Stegostoma tigrinum: one gene and its partner. The protein of the gene in region 1 purifies or fractionates together with the protein of each later gene. This does not show direct contact. Links are inferred from orthologs where the notes say so. Each region holds a gene or a part of one and is shown in the gene's direction. Other genes may lie near its edges.

Region 1 (7,491 bases):
GGTCTGGGTGGGATGTATCAAGGGGCGGTGTGGACTTGTTGGGCCGAAGGGCCTGTTTCCACACTGCAGGGAATCTAAATCTAATCACTCTGGTTACACTCTTCCACCTCTTCCATCAGGCAGAAGAGACAAAACCTTGAAAACACTTACCTACAGATTCAAGAACAGCTTCTCCCTGCTGTTATCAGACTTATGAACAGATGTCTTATAGATCAGAGTTGATCTCTCTCTGCACCTTCTCTGAAGCTGTAACACCATAAGCTGCATTCAGTTCTTTTGCCCTGATGTACTTATGTAAGGTATGAGTTGCCCAGTTAGCACACAATACAATACATTTCACTGTATCCCGATACATGTGACAATAGTAAATCAAATCAAATTTTAACTTTAAAATTTCAATCAATGACAGATCAAGGTGGAGCTGGAAGAACACAGCAGGCCAAGCAGCATCAGAGGAGCAGGAAAATTGAAGTTTTGGGTCAGGACCCTTCTTCAGAAATGGGGAGGAGGAAGGGAGCTCTAAAATAAATAGAGAGGATGGGGTGGGACTGGGGATGGTAGGTGGGATGGTGATAGGTGAGTGCAGGTAGGCAGGTTAGGGATGGGTCAGTGAGGTAGGAGGGGTGGATAGGTGGGTGAGAAGATGGACAGGTTGTGTCAGGTCAAGGAGGCAGGGATGGGGGGGGGTTGGACATATGATGAGGCCTGGATGAGGAGATTTTTAAACTGGTGAAATTCATGTTTAGGACGTTGGGGCCATTTGGATTTATGCATGTTTAAAACATGGGAAGTTAAAAGCAGCACAAAGGCTGTACATTAACAGCTGATGAAGTGGCTTTTACACCTTCAGAAAGATGCTTGTCACATTGATTACCAAAAACAAAATGCTCAAATCCTGCATCTGACATAAAAAACAACATTGAAATTAGTTTCTCATATCCAGATAAAAATGCTTGTTAAAAGAAAAAGTTTGAAATATTGGTCAGATTTTGGAGTTGGGCAAATATTAAGCTTGTCAACCAAACCTTTTCTACATTTTGCATTGAAAAGTTGCTGTTAGCCAATTCCTAAAAAAAAGCAAACCACCTTTGACTTCTGTGAAGAAGGAAAGTCACTATGGAGCCAATCAAATTGAAGAATCTAAATGTGAAGTCTCTGCTGGAATACTTGATTCACTATCAAATCTGGTTCATAAAGAGAGAGAAAGAAATTTTAGATTAAAATGGAAAACAAAAGAAACAACTATTTCTATTATAGAGATAACAAAGTGTGGAGCTGGATGAACACAGCAGGCCAAGCGACATCTTAGGAGCACAAAAGCTGACGTTTCAGGCCTAAGGTCTACGCCCGAAATGTTAGCTTTTGTGCTCCTAAGATGTTGCCTGGCCTGCTGTGTTCATCCAACTCCACACTTATTTCGGATTGTCCAGCATCTGCAGTTCCCATTATCCCTGAACTATTTCTACTTATGCTTTAAACTGATTTTCAATCACAACAATTTCTTTAAAAATGTTTCAAAAAAATCGACATCTGAAAGAATCAAACTTCATATCAGGGAAAAAATAATTTTCAGAGGCACAAGTTACTTGCCAGTAATTAAAGCTTATTACACTACTAAAATAATGCTTTTTTGGAGTCAGGTGATCCTGAAAAGAAGGACTTGCATTTATACAGTGCTTGTCATGACACTGCCAGTTTCAAAGTTTTACAGAAAATGGATCATTTTTTGAAGTGTAGTCTCTGTTGTAATGTACGGAACACAGCAGCTAATATCCACTCGGCAAACATTCATAAACAGGCATGTAATAACAGCCAGATAATCTGTTTCTTCTTCTGATGTTAGTAGCTATGAGGATTTATAGCTGGCCACCCAAACATTTCAATGTCCATTTATGCTGAATGTGAGTCCAGGAATATATAGAATACTTGCAAAATCTCAGCACCTATCTTAAAAAGCCACTATTGACAAGTAGATCCATCACTAGCTCAGCTGTGCCAGATCCACCTTGTACAGACTAGGCTGAGATAACAGAGTTCTGCAGCAGACCAAAGCTCCTAGTTTACAAAAAGCTGTCATCATCATAATCCAGGACAGCAGTGAGACCTGGAATCTGAATATTCAAGAAATTCCAACCACACAGCCTCCACCACATCTTCTGAATTCAATGGGAGGACAATCACAAACTCCAAATGTGCAAAACATCTATAAAAGCCTGTTCTGCATCCGGGCAAGCACTGTCAATCCAGAGCTGACCTGCACGGTTCTCGATATTTGCCCTGGACATGACAGGGGGTAATCGCTGCCCCTCTGTGTGATTGGGAAGCTGGAGATCCTGCTAGGATGGGTTGGTGCTGATGTGGGATGTTCTCTTCCCCCACGGACCAGCAGAGGAGGCCCTGACACTGGGCCGTGCAAAGTCTGGACTGAGTTTAGCCCCACTCTTGGGTCAATGCAGTCTCAGTGTTTCGAGGAATGCCCAATGCTGTAGGAAGAAGGTCAATGTCCTTCTCCACTCCACCAGGATAACTGTCACCATCTTCTCTCTGATACCTCATCCTCACTCTCTCACACTGCACCCACCTGGGCCTGGTGCATGTGGTGACATTGGAGAATCCGCACAGCAGCAAAACATGTCACCTGAACAGTGGCAATTTCAATGTTGGTTGGGTCCAGTGTAGATGGTGGCAAGGCAGTGGAGGGGAGATGGCGTTACAGGTGTCCTTTAGGGTGAGCTGGCTCACAACTGACAGACTCTCTTTTTTAATTCTTAAAAATATTCAAAATCATGGCAACAGTGGAAAAGCTTTTCACTGTATTTTACTGTGTTTCTGACTGTAATATACATAGAACATAACAGCACAGTACAGGCCCTTCAGCCCTTGATGCTGTGCCGACCTGTCATACCGATCTGAAGCCCATCTAACCTACACTATTCCATGTACGTCCATATGCTTATCCAATGACGACTTAAATGTACCTAAAGTTGGCGAATCTACTGCAGACAAAGCGTTCCATTCCCTTACTACTTTCTGAGTAAAGAAACTACCTCTGACATCTGTCCTATATCTTTCACCTCTCAATTTAAAGCTATGCCCCCTCGTGCTTGCCGTCACCATCCTAGGAAAAAGGCTCTCCCTATCCACCCTATCTAACCCTCTGATTATTTTATATGTTTCAATTAAGTCACCTCTCAACCTTCTTTTCTCAAATGAAAACAGCCTCAAGTCCCTCAGCCTTTCCTCGTAAGACCTTCCCTCCATACCAGGCAACATTCTAGTAAATCTCCTCTGCAACCTTTCCAAAGCTTCCACATCCATGTGATGATAAAATCATAAATCACCTCCCACCATACTCTCCCACTCTCACAACTGACTGCGACATTCTCCCTCAGTCACCCTCACGCACCACAACCCCCCAACACCCCTAATCTTACATGTCTGATGTCTATTCACTTACTTGTGACACCATTCCATTAGTACCAACTGAATTAGCTGTGCCATCCCTTTCCACCTGCTGTAATATCTGCCTCCCTCTCATTCCAGAAAGAAAACAGCTCACAATATGGCAGAAAGACTCAAGATTCACCCTTCATGAGGAGAGGACCCTGCAGTGTTTGGAGACGTGTGGGTTCGCCATGGGAAGTGCAGGGAGGTGTCTGAGTGGGAAACAGAGCGAACATCGTTACCCCAGCCATCCTCTGGGTGGCGCTCCAACTACATGTTTCTCGCCGCAGTGACATCACGGTCACGGTCCCAGACCGCGTCCAATCAGAAAGAAGGTATCTAATGGCCTCGCCCTATGACGTATCAGACCCCGCCCCAAACGAAAACCAAAAGATTTGAGGTTCAGACGATATTGACAAACTTAGTGATTTATTGACAAATCTACCGTTACTATTAACTAATTTATTTATCTCGTGTTCATTAATTTATCAACAAATCCATTACTTAATTTATTAAGCCTCTGTTATTAACTAATTTTTCAAAAGCTTTTATTAATTTATATACAGTTATTTATTAACAGGCTTGTTTATAAATTAATATATTAATACACTTATTAATTATTTAATTAAGACTAATTAATACATTTATTAACAGACTTACAGGGGCATGTATTAAGTAATTTATTAATCCACTATTATTATTAACTAATTTATTTAGTTTACATTATCAGACTGTAAACGATTCATTAAGTTGACTGTTATCATTGAACTGAACTACTGAGTATCATTTATTAGTTAACGTAGTAATTAACTTATTATCGACTTTCTTAACACATTTAACCCAGTGTTACTTATGTATTAATTAACCCTGATTATTATTTAGTAACCCAGTGTTATTTATGTATTGATTAACCCTGATTATTATTTATTAACCCAGTGTTACTTATGTATTAATTAACCCTGATTATTATTTATTAACCCAGTGTTATTTATGTATTGATTAACCCTGGTTATTGTTTATTTATTGACTCAGTGTTATTTGTATATTAATCTATTGGTTCGCTCCCTTTTTGTTGACAATTTCCGGCACGGTCGGGCGGAAATACAATCTGGGAGAATTCCTGACGGATTGTGATCTTCGCACCGGAAGCGGAAACAAGCGGCTCCGGGAGTCTGTGGAACTTTCAGCCGAGAGCGATGGGCGCCCGGGACGACGAGTATGATTATCTGTTCAAGGGTGAGTCCCCGGCCCCGGCCAGCGAGGTGCCCGCTTCCCCCTGTCGGGCGACTGGGCCCCGGGGCCATGCCCCTTGATGGGGCATCAGTGCCCTCTTTCCCCCCGATCAATCCCCCTCCCCTTACCCAGGCCCCATCGGCCCATCTCCCCATTCCCTGGGGGCTCGCTCCTCTCGCCCCGTCGGCCTTTGTTGGTGTTGCTGTTGAACCAAAAGGTTGTTAATGATTAGACTTTGCTGAGAGCTGCATATTAATAGGAGGGAGCATTTCACTTGGGAATAGGCCGTCGTTATACTTCACACGTAGCAGGTACTTTCCCAAAACTGGACATTGCTGTGTTTAACCTTTATAAAGAAAACATCCTTAGTGCCTACTGTCGATGTCTTAATTCTGAGTTAGTTTTAGTTGACTTCAACTGAGTTTTTAATATAGGAGAAATGGCCCGAATTTAGGGATTGGTGTGAGCTCCAAGAACTCCGGTAGAATGGATCTGGTGAAGAGTTAAATTGTCTTGCAACTGTTGGGCATTCTTCAGCTTTCGAAAACATTTGTCATACTGTGTTTTATTTGTATAGACTAATGGTAGGCCTGAAATGTTTGTACCCTTGTCTGCCAGATTAATGTAGCTAATTACTACTACTTTCTTGACTATAAAGCTCACTTCACTTAGTGCATTTTTGACTGCCAACTGAAATGGGGGTTCTTTTTAATCCAAAGCCTGAAAATTAATTCAGTTTTAAACAAACTACTGCAATTTGTGTGGTGTTTGAACTTTTGGTTCAAGTAGTTGGGGAGATACTTGTATATGACATGGCATGTGTGTGTACAGAATGTGACTTAACCTAAGTGGGTCAAATATTTAGTGGTTTCTTTTGAACTTTCTTTGAAACATGATATTATTCTGACTAGACAGATAACTCACCGTTTAAGAGGTAACAGTTGAAGGTACTACATTGTAGTTCAGTCTGTGGCACTTGATTCTTCTAACCTTCGATCACTGACATCCACCCCTACAATGTGGCAGCTATTAAGATTTTGAGGGATTTTAATTGACAGCTGTGTTTTTAGCACTGTAACAAAGCAATGAAGTACCAATAGTGTCATCACTAATCTTCCTGCATTTAACTTGTGACTTATCTCTGACTGAGGAGTAAAATTGGGGCCTGCAGCCAATATCAGTATTACGCGGATCCACTATTCAGTTCTGAACTGACACCAGAAACAAGTGGAGGTTTTCTGTTTCTTAGCACCTGTCAATGGTGTACCACTGATCAGCTGGTCCAAAGCTAAGTAGCATTGATGTCTTTGAGAATGTCTCCTATGAATAACCACAATTTTCCACTTCTTCATGTTGTTGTAATTAATTTTACTGTTTGCAAATTTGGCAATTACAGAAATTCCAGAATAGGGAGTTGCTAGAATTAAATTACAAATCCTTTTTGTGAAAAAATTGACAACGATTGCAATGCCACTACTAACTGACAACTTGTTTTTAATGTGGATTGAATGTAGATTATTGGAAACTAGCACTTCCAGTTGGAAGAAAAGTTTCTGGTCTCCAATGGACTGGAGAAAGGAAGGACTTAAATAGCTATGTTGTATAGGAGAGTAACATTTGGAGTAGCTTATAAAAACAAATGAAGCAGGTGTGAGGATATGGACGTCTAAGTATTGTAATCTTGGGCTTTCTGATTTCGTCTAACAGATGCAGCATAAAGGGATCCAGTACTGTCTACAGAGTACTTGTTGAGCTCTTACCACCTCTTCCTTTATTCCTGATAAATTTATTGCAAACTGTACTAGTTCCAAAGTAATAATGAAATCTTGTGCTTGTGACTTTTTTCTAGGGAGGAATGTTCTACGAGGTTGAAATTTTAAATTGAATTAAAAATTCACCAATGGCTAAATGATGCAATCTATTTCTTGGCACCACCTGCGATCACTTTGTTCGGATTTCCTTGAAGCCATGTTGCGTCATGAATTCAACTGAATCTGTTCAAGGGCTAGTGGTTCTAAAAAAGGAATGGTTGGGTGTGTCCACTTTGTACCAAGTGACAAATTTGGGGAGAAACAATGGCCAAGTTAGCAGTAAGGAATAGTTTTGGGAAATGAAGGCGTAATAAAAGATCATCAAATGATTTTTGTCATGCTGTTTACTGGCAGTGCCAGTATTTAAAATGCAATTTTGCACAAATGGAGAGGCCTGATTCACTACCACCCAAGCCAGCAATTTTAGACTGGGATTTTTAATCTCTAGTGCTTTTTTATTTACATTCTGATTTTGGGTTTTGCATCAAAGGAAATGCTTTGCATTTTAAAGCGATTCATAACAAAGGCATCTCATTTTATTTGGGCTTTTAAGTTACAGAACAGTTCTGGGTGTGTTGCTTTTAATGAGTACAATTATCAACTGAGGATTACTGTTCTGAGAGATGATACTAAAATTGAGGTGTTGGTGTTAATACTTGTTTGAGTAACTGCTCTGACCCAACAGCCCACTAAACCATGATGAGGACTGCTCTGAGTACTACTTTTGGAGAGCTGGGACAATAGTGATGGGATGGAACAAGTTGGATTGCAACTAGTACGACATCATGGCTCCAGTTGTATTTTCAGACAATGGTGTGGTTTTTATACACTCTAAGTATTGCAGACACTGGTCTATCTGACATTTGTTCTGCTGTAGTTAACTTCAGACTGAGTGCTTCCTGTTTTGTAATCCAGGAATATGAAATGCTAACTTGAATCAGTTAAACTTTGGTTGTCATAACACTGAGGAAAACAGCTTGAATTTTGTGAAGATGATGCTCTT
Region 2 (7,065 bases), on another chromosome or scaffold:
CCAACAGGGTGACCTGTCCTTTCCTGTTTCTAACTTCAGCCCATACTATCTCATTAGATGAGTCCTCATCAAACCTCCTTTCTGCCACTGTAATACTGTCCTTGGCAAACAATGCCGCCCCTCCCCCTCTTTTACCACCTTCCCTGCTCTTACTGAAACATCTAAACCCCGGAACCTGCAACAACCATTCCTGCCCCTGCTCTATCCATGTCTCCGAAATGGCCACAACATTGAAGTCCCAGGTACCAACCCAAGCTGCAAGTTCACCCACCTTATTCCGGATGCTCTTGGCGTTGAAGTAGACACACTTCAAACCACCTTCCTGCCTGCTGGTACACTCCCGTGACCTTGAAACCTTAATCATGACCTCACTACTCTCAACCTCCTGTACACTGGAGCTATAATTCAGGTTCCCATCCCCGTGCTGAATTAGTTTAAACCCTCCTGAAGAGCATTAGCAAATTTCCCCCCCAGGATATTGGTACCCCTCTGGTTCAGGTGTAGACCATCCCATTTGTAGAGGTCCCATCTACTCCAGAATGAGACCCAATTATCCAGGTATCTGAATCCCTCCCTTCTACACCATTCATGTAGCCACGTGTTCAACTGTTCTCTCTCCCTAATCCTCATCTCGCTAGCAAGTGGCACCGGTAACAAACCAGAGATAATAACTCTGTTTGTTCTAGCTCTAACCACTCTAGCTCCTTGAATTTTTGCCTTACATCCCAATCGCTTTTCCTACCGATGTCATTGGTGACTGCATGGACCATGACTTGGGGCTGCTCCCCCTCCTCCTTAAGGATCCCAAAAACATGATCCAAGACATCACAGATTGGCACCTGGGAGGCAACACACGCCAACCGCGAGTCTCTCTCGCTCCCACAGTATGCGTAACGTGTATTAATATGTAGAAACGTTGACAAGTTAAGATATTCTCCCATCTGTTTTGGTTATTGACCAATAAATATTAATTGTATACTGAACCTATTCTTTTCGCAGCACCAGAAGGAATACAAGAGATGGAAAGGAGCATGGGAGTTGGAGGATGTGGAGCCAGAATGCATTAGACAGGACTCTAAATTGCTGGACTAAACTGTACAGATGATATAATTGAGCACCTGTACCTCTGAGATTGATAACTGGCCAATACCTATGCATGCCAGAGTGTAAACATAAACCACTACCACTAAGTTGGCTGCCTTGGGCTAGGCCAAGGGCCAAGAAGGGAGACCTGAAGAGTGTGGAATTGGTTTGACTTATTTCTAGTTTTCAGTCATATTATAAAAGCAAAACGGAACCACTAATGTACAGAGACATGCTAGAAGTCTAGGAGCGGCACAATCAGCAAGATAGTACCAGCCTTGGATGAAATAACAGACAATGTCTGTGAAAATCATTGGTAATCAGCCTTTCAGTGGGAATTCCTGCCCCTGCCAAACAGAAAGCCGTGGAATGTCCCAAAAGATAGCTAGAGAGATCGTGAGAGAGAAACACATGCAACAATATCCCCAAATGCCAACTAGAATGCATGGGCTGATTTCTGACAGATGGGTCAAGTTGTGAGGTGGATGTTCTTCAGTGGGATTTGGGTTCTTGTACCTGTGAGAAATTAGGTCTGAATGAGGGTAACATTGGATGGAATAGTTCTGCACCATTGAGACTATATTTTTCTCCTACCTACTTGTCCATTTCCTCATAAGAAGAAAGGTTTTCAAATTAGTTTTATTACGAGTGGAATTGCATTATGGGTTTAAATTAATCCGTTTTCCAACATAAAGAGGGTACTGGTGCAATGCTGTGTACTATGTTGCTTCATTCTTGATGCAGTGCAGGTCCTAGTTGCTGCTGGATTTTTCTGCTTGTTCAATGTGTTTTATTTGCCAGTTCAGTATTGTTACATTGTATAAGCACTATGCAGGTATATTACAAATATTTTTAATCTGCTCTGGTGTGCCTGATTTTTACTGTTTATATTGGTTCAGGGCTGAGTGTATTGTGCTGACTCAATGATCTTTCATTCCGTGGAGTTTGATCTGTGCTTGCTCAGGATTGTTATGCTGCATTCAGAACACCCCCAGCCAAGGCAATGCATCCTTTTCTTTTCCTTACGGTAGAAGATAGCCTTCTGTGTCAGTTAGCTGTTGGTTCATGAATTGTAATAATTTCATTTGTGTTCCACGTTGTTGCATTGCAGACTGCACGGGTTGAAGATTTTTGCAATACAATTGCTGCTTCCCTGGATCAGGATTGCAACCTGAAAGTTTTTACAACGTGTCCGTGCAACCCTGCCTCGGTGTCGCAGTGCGCGTTGGTTGAAGGCTTTAGTACTGCATTTGGTGTTGCCCTTGCTCCACTGATTAAGGGCTGTTGACTGAAAGTTTATACTCTGGGTCAGGTTTGTCACGTGGGTTTACAGAAGTTTCTGCACTGCATTAAATGCATTCCTGGCTCTGGGTGGGTGTATACTCTCATTAAACATTGGCTGCATGCACTTCGTGGCTACACTGCAGTGTCTCAGAACAGTTATATTGCTCTAGTTTAAATGGTAGTATTGCTTCAACTCTGGATGGTTGTATTGCATTGGCTCAGGTGGAGGCATTGCTCTGGCTTTTGATTGGTCCAACACACTGACTAGTTGCATTTCTGCCTTTGTCTGACTGCATTAGAACATATTGCTCTGGCTCAGATGGGCTGAATGCATTAAATGCTTCTGGGTGGCTATATTGTTCTGGTTTGGTAGGATGCAGGGAACAATGGTATTGCTTTATTACTAGAGCCTGGAGATGGACAGCAATTTTATTTTGTTTTCAAGTTTGGTGGCTATGCAAAAAGCTATTGCCCAATCTGAATTGGCCTGGAGAATCTAGTAGTGAGCTTTTTTTTGCAACAGTGCAGTCCATATAGTGTGGCACATCCACAATGTTGTTATGAAGGGGCTTTCAGCATTTTGACCTAGCATCAATGAAAAAATGACATATATTTCCAAGTCAGGCGTGTGACTTGCAGGTCAACTTCCATGTGGTGGTTTTCCCATGTATGAGCTACCCTTATCCTTCCAGGTGATAGAGACCATGTGTTTGAAAATTGGTATAAAGGGAGTGCTGGTGAGTTACTGCAATTTTACTCTTAGATGCCTCACACTGTTCTTACTGTGCATTGTTGGTGACGAAGAATGAACTTTGAATGCATAAACTGATGAGCTGCCAGTGCAGCAGGCTGCTTTGTCCTGGATGGAGCCAAGCTTCTTGAGCATTGTTCGAGCTGCACTCATCCTGCAAGGGAAGTGTGTTCCATCACACTCCTGACTTGTACCTTACAGAGGGCCATTTAGCTCAGCTAGTTGGGTTAAATTCCAGCACCAGCTGAGATTACCACGAAGGACTTTCCTTCTCAACCTTTTCCCCTCAATTGAGGTGTGGTGTTCCTCAGGTTAAAACACAACTTTCGAATAAGAGAGCAGTCCGAAGATCCAGTGAGGCGATGGCAAAGTGGCTTTGGGAGTTGAATACCTCCGTCCTGCTCTTGTAGCCTCAGCGATCGTCAACCATGATACCAGCCCAGAGGTGCTGCTCGGACAGGCTGGGGTTGGGGAGAAATGGTGCGGACAGTTCTGAGACAACAGTGTGGAGCTGGATGAACACAGCAGGCCAAGCAGCATCTTACGACTACAAAAGCTGACGTTTTTGCCTGGACCCTTCATCAGAAATGGGGGAGGGGAGAGAGGGGGAGGCTGATCGAAGATGGATAGAGGATTACAAGAGAGTTGCAGTAGGAGAGGGTTCCCCTGAGGTTTATCCGGAAGTAGGAGGGTAACTTCTTGAGGTTCGGCAGTGCTGATACGCGCGCGCACCCGCTATGGTGGAGACAAGCACCGTGGGCGGAGCAATGTTGATACACGCAACAGGGCGGAGGCACGCGCCGTGTGCGGGGCGAGAAAGGGCAGCGCGGATACGCGCGCGCACCGCCAGGGGGCGGAGCCACAGCGCCGCTTGCGTGCGCCGATGGAGAGGGGCAGGGTCTTTGGGGATAGGGGTGGGTCTGGCGTCACTCGCTCCGCCCCCTCAGCCTTTGGCGGGGGGAGGGGATGGGAAGAGTGCGTCTCCGGGACAGGGAGAGTGTGAGAAACGGGCTGGTCGGCCGGGAGGTGTAAAGACTGAGCGGACACTGAACCGTGGCAGGGACACGAAGAGCAGGAGGGTGAGGGGCGGGATGGTGCTCGGATCTATGGAAAGTTAATCTTTAAACCCGCGAGTAAGCGGAAGAGAGAGACGGTGTGGGTGAAATATTTCCAAGGTAAGGGCCGGCCGTTTAATTATTAACGCCCGGGGTCGGCGCTCTCGGGGCCTTTCCCGCCCCCCACCCGCCTCTCAAACCCCGAAACTAACCGCGCGAACAGCGGGACTGTGGGGAGGGGAGGAACGTAGGTGCTTGGGGTGCAGTAGGGAGACCCTCGGAGGAGGGATCTCCCGAAATGCGCCTGCCGAGGTTGGGGCAGTCAGTGGGGAAGAGCCAAGCGGCCCGGTGGTGGTGAGGGGAGAGTTGACTGTAGGCCCGAGACTTCCGTGTCCAGCATTTGAGCGGGGAGGCTACCTGCGCTCCTGTTCTCAGGGATGGGTATTTTGTTTGGGGATGGATGGTCTCGCCTCTGATCTGCGATGGGATTTCCCTGCTCCTCTGTACTACGCAGTGAACCCGGGCCTGGCTGTAAAAGCAGCATCGTCCCGATGTCCGAACCAGGACATATTAAAAGCTTACCCGTGTCATTTTAATTCATTATCGATGATTTCGTTGAGCTTTGTCTTTTGAGGCGCAGCTAAAAGGGCGGATTAAATGCTTTTTTAAAGGCGCAACTTTTTTTTGTCCATTTTCAATGTATTCGTTAATGGTTGGGATGGGGAAGTGAAATTCAATCAATGTTTTGCTGCCTGGATGACGTTGAATTAATTACTACATCACCCTGGGCAACTGAAGTGACATTCTGCGTGATTGTTATTTTACTATCATTTTGATTCGTGGTTTTGTTTCTATATATTGTAGGTGGCACTTTTGAATGTATAAGACGCGTGCATAAAACTCAATTTTATTTTACATAGTCAGTAATGAGTTCACTGCACTTTTGCATTTTTGGGACCTGGATGAATATTCTTTTTCCCCACCCCACTGGTGCTGTGGCCAATTTTTGCACCTTAACGCTAATTGGTTAACTTTGGCTAGTTCAAGACTGTATTGAATCTCTGATTATTTACATTCACTGACTGCAGGTGAGGGTCAAGAGAAACTATAATGCTGCAGAAATCAATGCCTTCAGATAGGAAAGAAGAGAACATTTCCCGAAGAAAGTTCATACGTGAGAACCAGTTGGTGCAGCACTTTCCTGTGTAGTGTATGTTATATTTTAAGATGAGTGAATTATTTCACATTAATGTTGATTTTCACAGAGAGCTGACAACACTGTGTGCAAATGGCAAAATTGCTAGAGGTGTTATGGAATAATGTATTGATAGAAATATGAATTTGGAATAACAATGGTTACTGAAGAGAGTTAGTGAAAACCACAGGCTTCAAGCTTGGTACCTTCATAAATGTGTGATTGGAATAGTTGTGTGGGCCACTTAATTTTTACAGAATCATAGAACTGTTACAGTGCAAACGAAGGCCATTCATTCTATCATGTCTCCATCCGCTCTGAGTGATTCACTTAGTGCTGTTCCCCTAGCTTCTCTTCGTAATCTTGTGCAAGCTTCGTTTTTGGATAACAGCTCTTTTGAATGTTTCAGTTAATCCTGCTTCCACCACACTCGGGTAGTGCATTCCAGACCTTAACCATTCATTGTCAACTCTCTTTTGCTCCTTCTATCAATCTCTTTAAATGTATGCCTTCATTCTTGATCCTGTTATGAGTGGTGAAAGTTTCTCCCTATTCACTCCATCTACACGACTTGTAATTTGAATACATCTCTCAAATCTCTTCTCTGTTTTCTTTGCTCCAAGGAAAACAGACCTATCTTCTCTAATCTATCATCTTAACTGTTTTTCTTCATCCCTGGAACCATTTTAATGAACATTTTCTTTCTTTCCAGTGCCTTCACATCCTTCCTAAAGTATGGCGGCCGGATTTGGTGCAGTACTCTAGTTCAGACCAAGCTAGTGTTATATGCAAATTTAAAAGAAGTCCATTGTTTTGTACTCTATGCCCTATTAATAAAGCTTAGGATCTTGTATGATTGTTGAACCATGCTGTCAACTGTTGTACCACCTTCAATGACTGTTGCACATTTGTTCAGGCCCCTCTGCTCCCGCACCCTCTTTAGAGATGCTCTCTTTACATGAGGTCTACATGTAATTCTGACCAAAATGAAATAATTCACATTTCTCTGCATTGAATTTCATCTGCTATCTATCTGTCCATTTCACCAACCTGTCCTTTTTGTACCTTAAAGTTCTAAATTATGACCTGTGCAGTTCGCAATATTGCCATGTTTTGTCACATATAAATGTTTAAATTGTACCATCTGCACCAAGGTCTAGGTCATTAATATCTTTGGAAAATTAAAGCTCCCAATATTGATGCCCTGGGGAGCTCCATTACAGATCTTCCTGTAGTCTGTTTTTAAAAAAAAATCCATTATTGAGTCAGTGTTATACAACACAGAAACAGACCCTGTGGTCCAACTCGTCTGTGCCAACCAGATACCCTAAACTGATCTAGTTCCATTTGCCTGAATTTAGCACATATCGCTCTAAACCTTTACTATTCATGTACCCAGCCAGATGCCTTTTAAATGTTGTAATTGTACCCACCTCCACCATCTCCTCCGGCAGCTTATTCTATATGCACACCACCCTCTCAGGTCCCTTTTAACATTTTTCCTGTCTCACTTTAAATCATTGCCCTCTACGTTTGGAATCCCTTACCCTCATGATTGTCTAAATCTTCATAAAAGTCACCCCTCAGCCTTTGACATGACAAGGAGAAAGTCCTGGCCTTTTCAGCCTCTTCCTATATTTCAAACTTTCCATTCCCAGTAACATCCTTGTAAACCTTTTCTGAACCCTTTCAAGTTT

The links. The genes of interacting proteins can lie anywhere in the genome.
Region 2: the proteins of rab11a (region 1) and evi5a purify together in Homo sapiens (co-immunoprecipitation; 3 studies listed by BioGRID and IntAct, with this or other methods). This does not show direct contact. The link is inferred for Stegostoma tigrinum from reciprocal best matches to the Homo sapiens genes RAB11A and EVI5.

What each region holds. Positions count from the first base shown.
Region 1 is NC_081386.1:35,467,197-35,474,687, reverse strand, and holds the start of rab11a (ras-related protein Rab-11A), read left to right. Parts: upstream 1-4,491; 5' UTR 4,492-4,640; coding exon 4,641-4,680; intron 4,681-7,491. UniProt on the Homo sapiens protein: The small GTPases Rab are key regulators of intracellular membrane trafficking, from the formation of transport vesicles to their fusion with membranes.
Region 2 is NC_081361.1:86,050,577-86,057,641, forward strand, and holds the start of evi5a (EVI5-like protein), read left to right. Parts: upstream 1-4,065; 5' UTR 4,066-4,293; intron 4,294-7,065. UniProt on the Homo sapiens protein: Functions as a regulator of cell cycle progression by stabilizing the FBXO5 protein and promoting cyclin-A accumulation during interphase. May play a role in cytokinesis.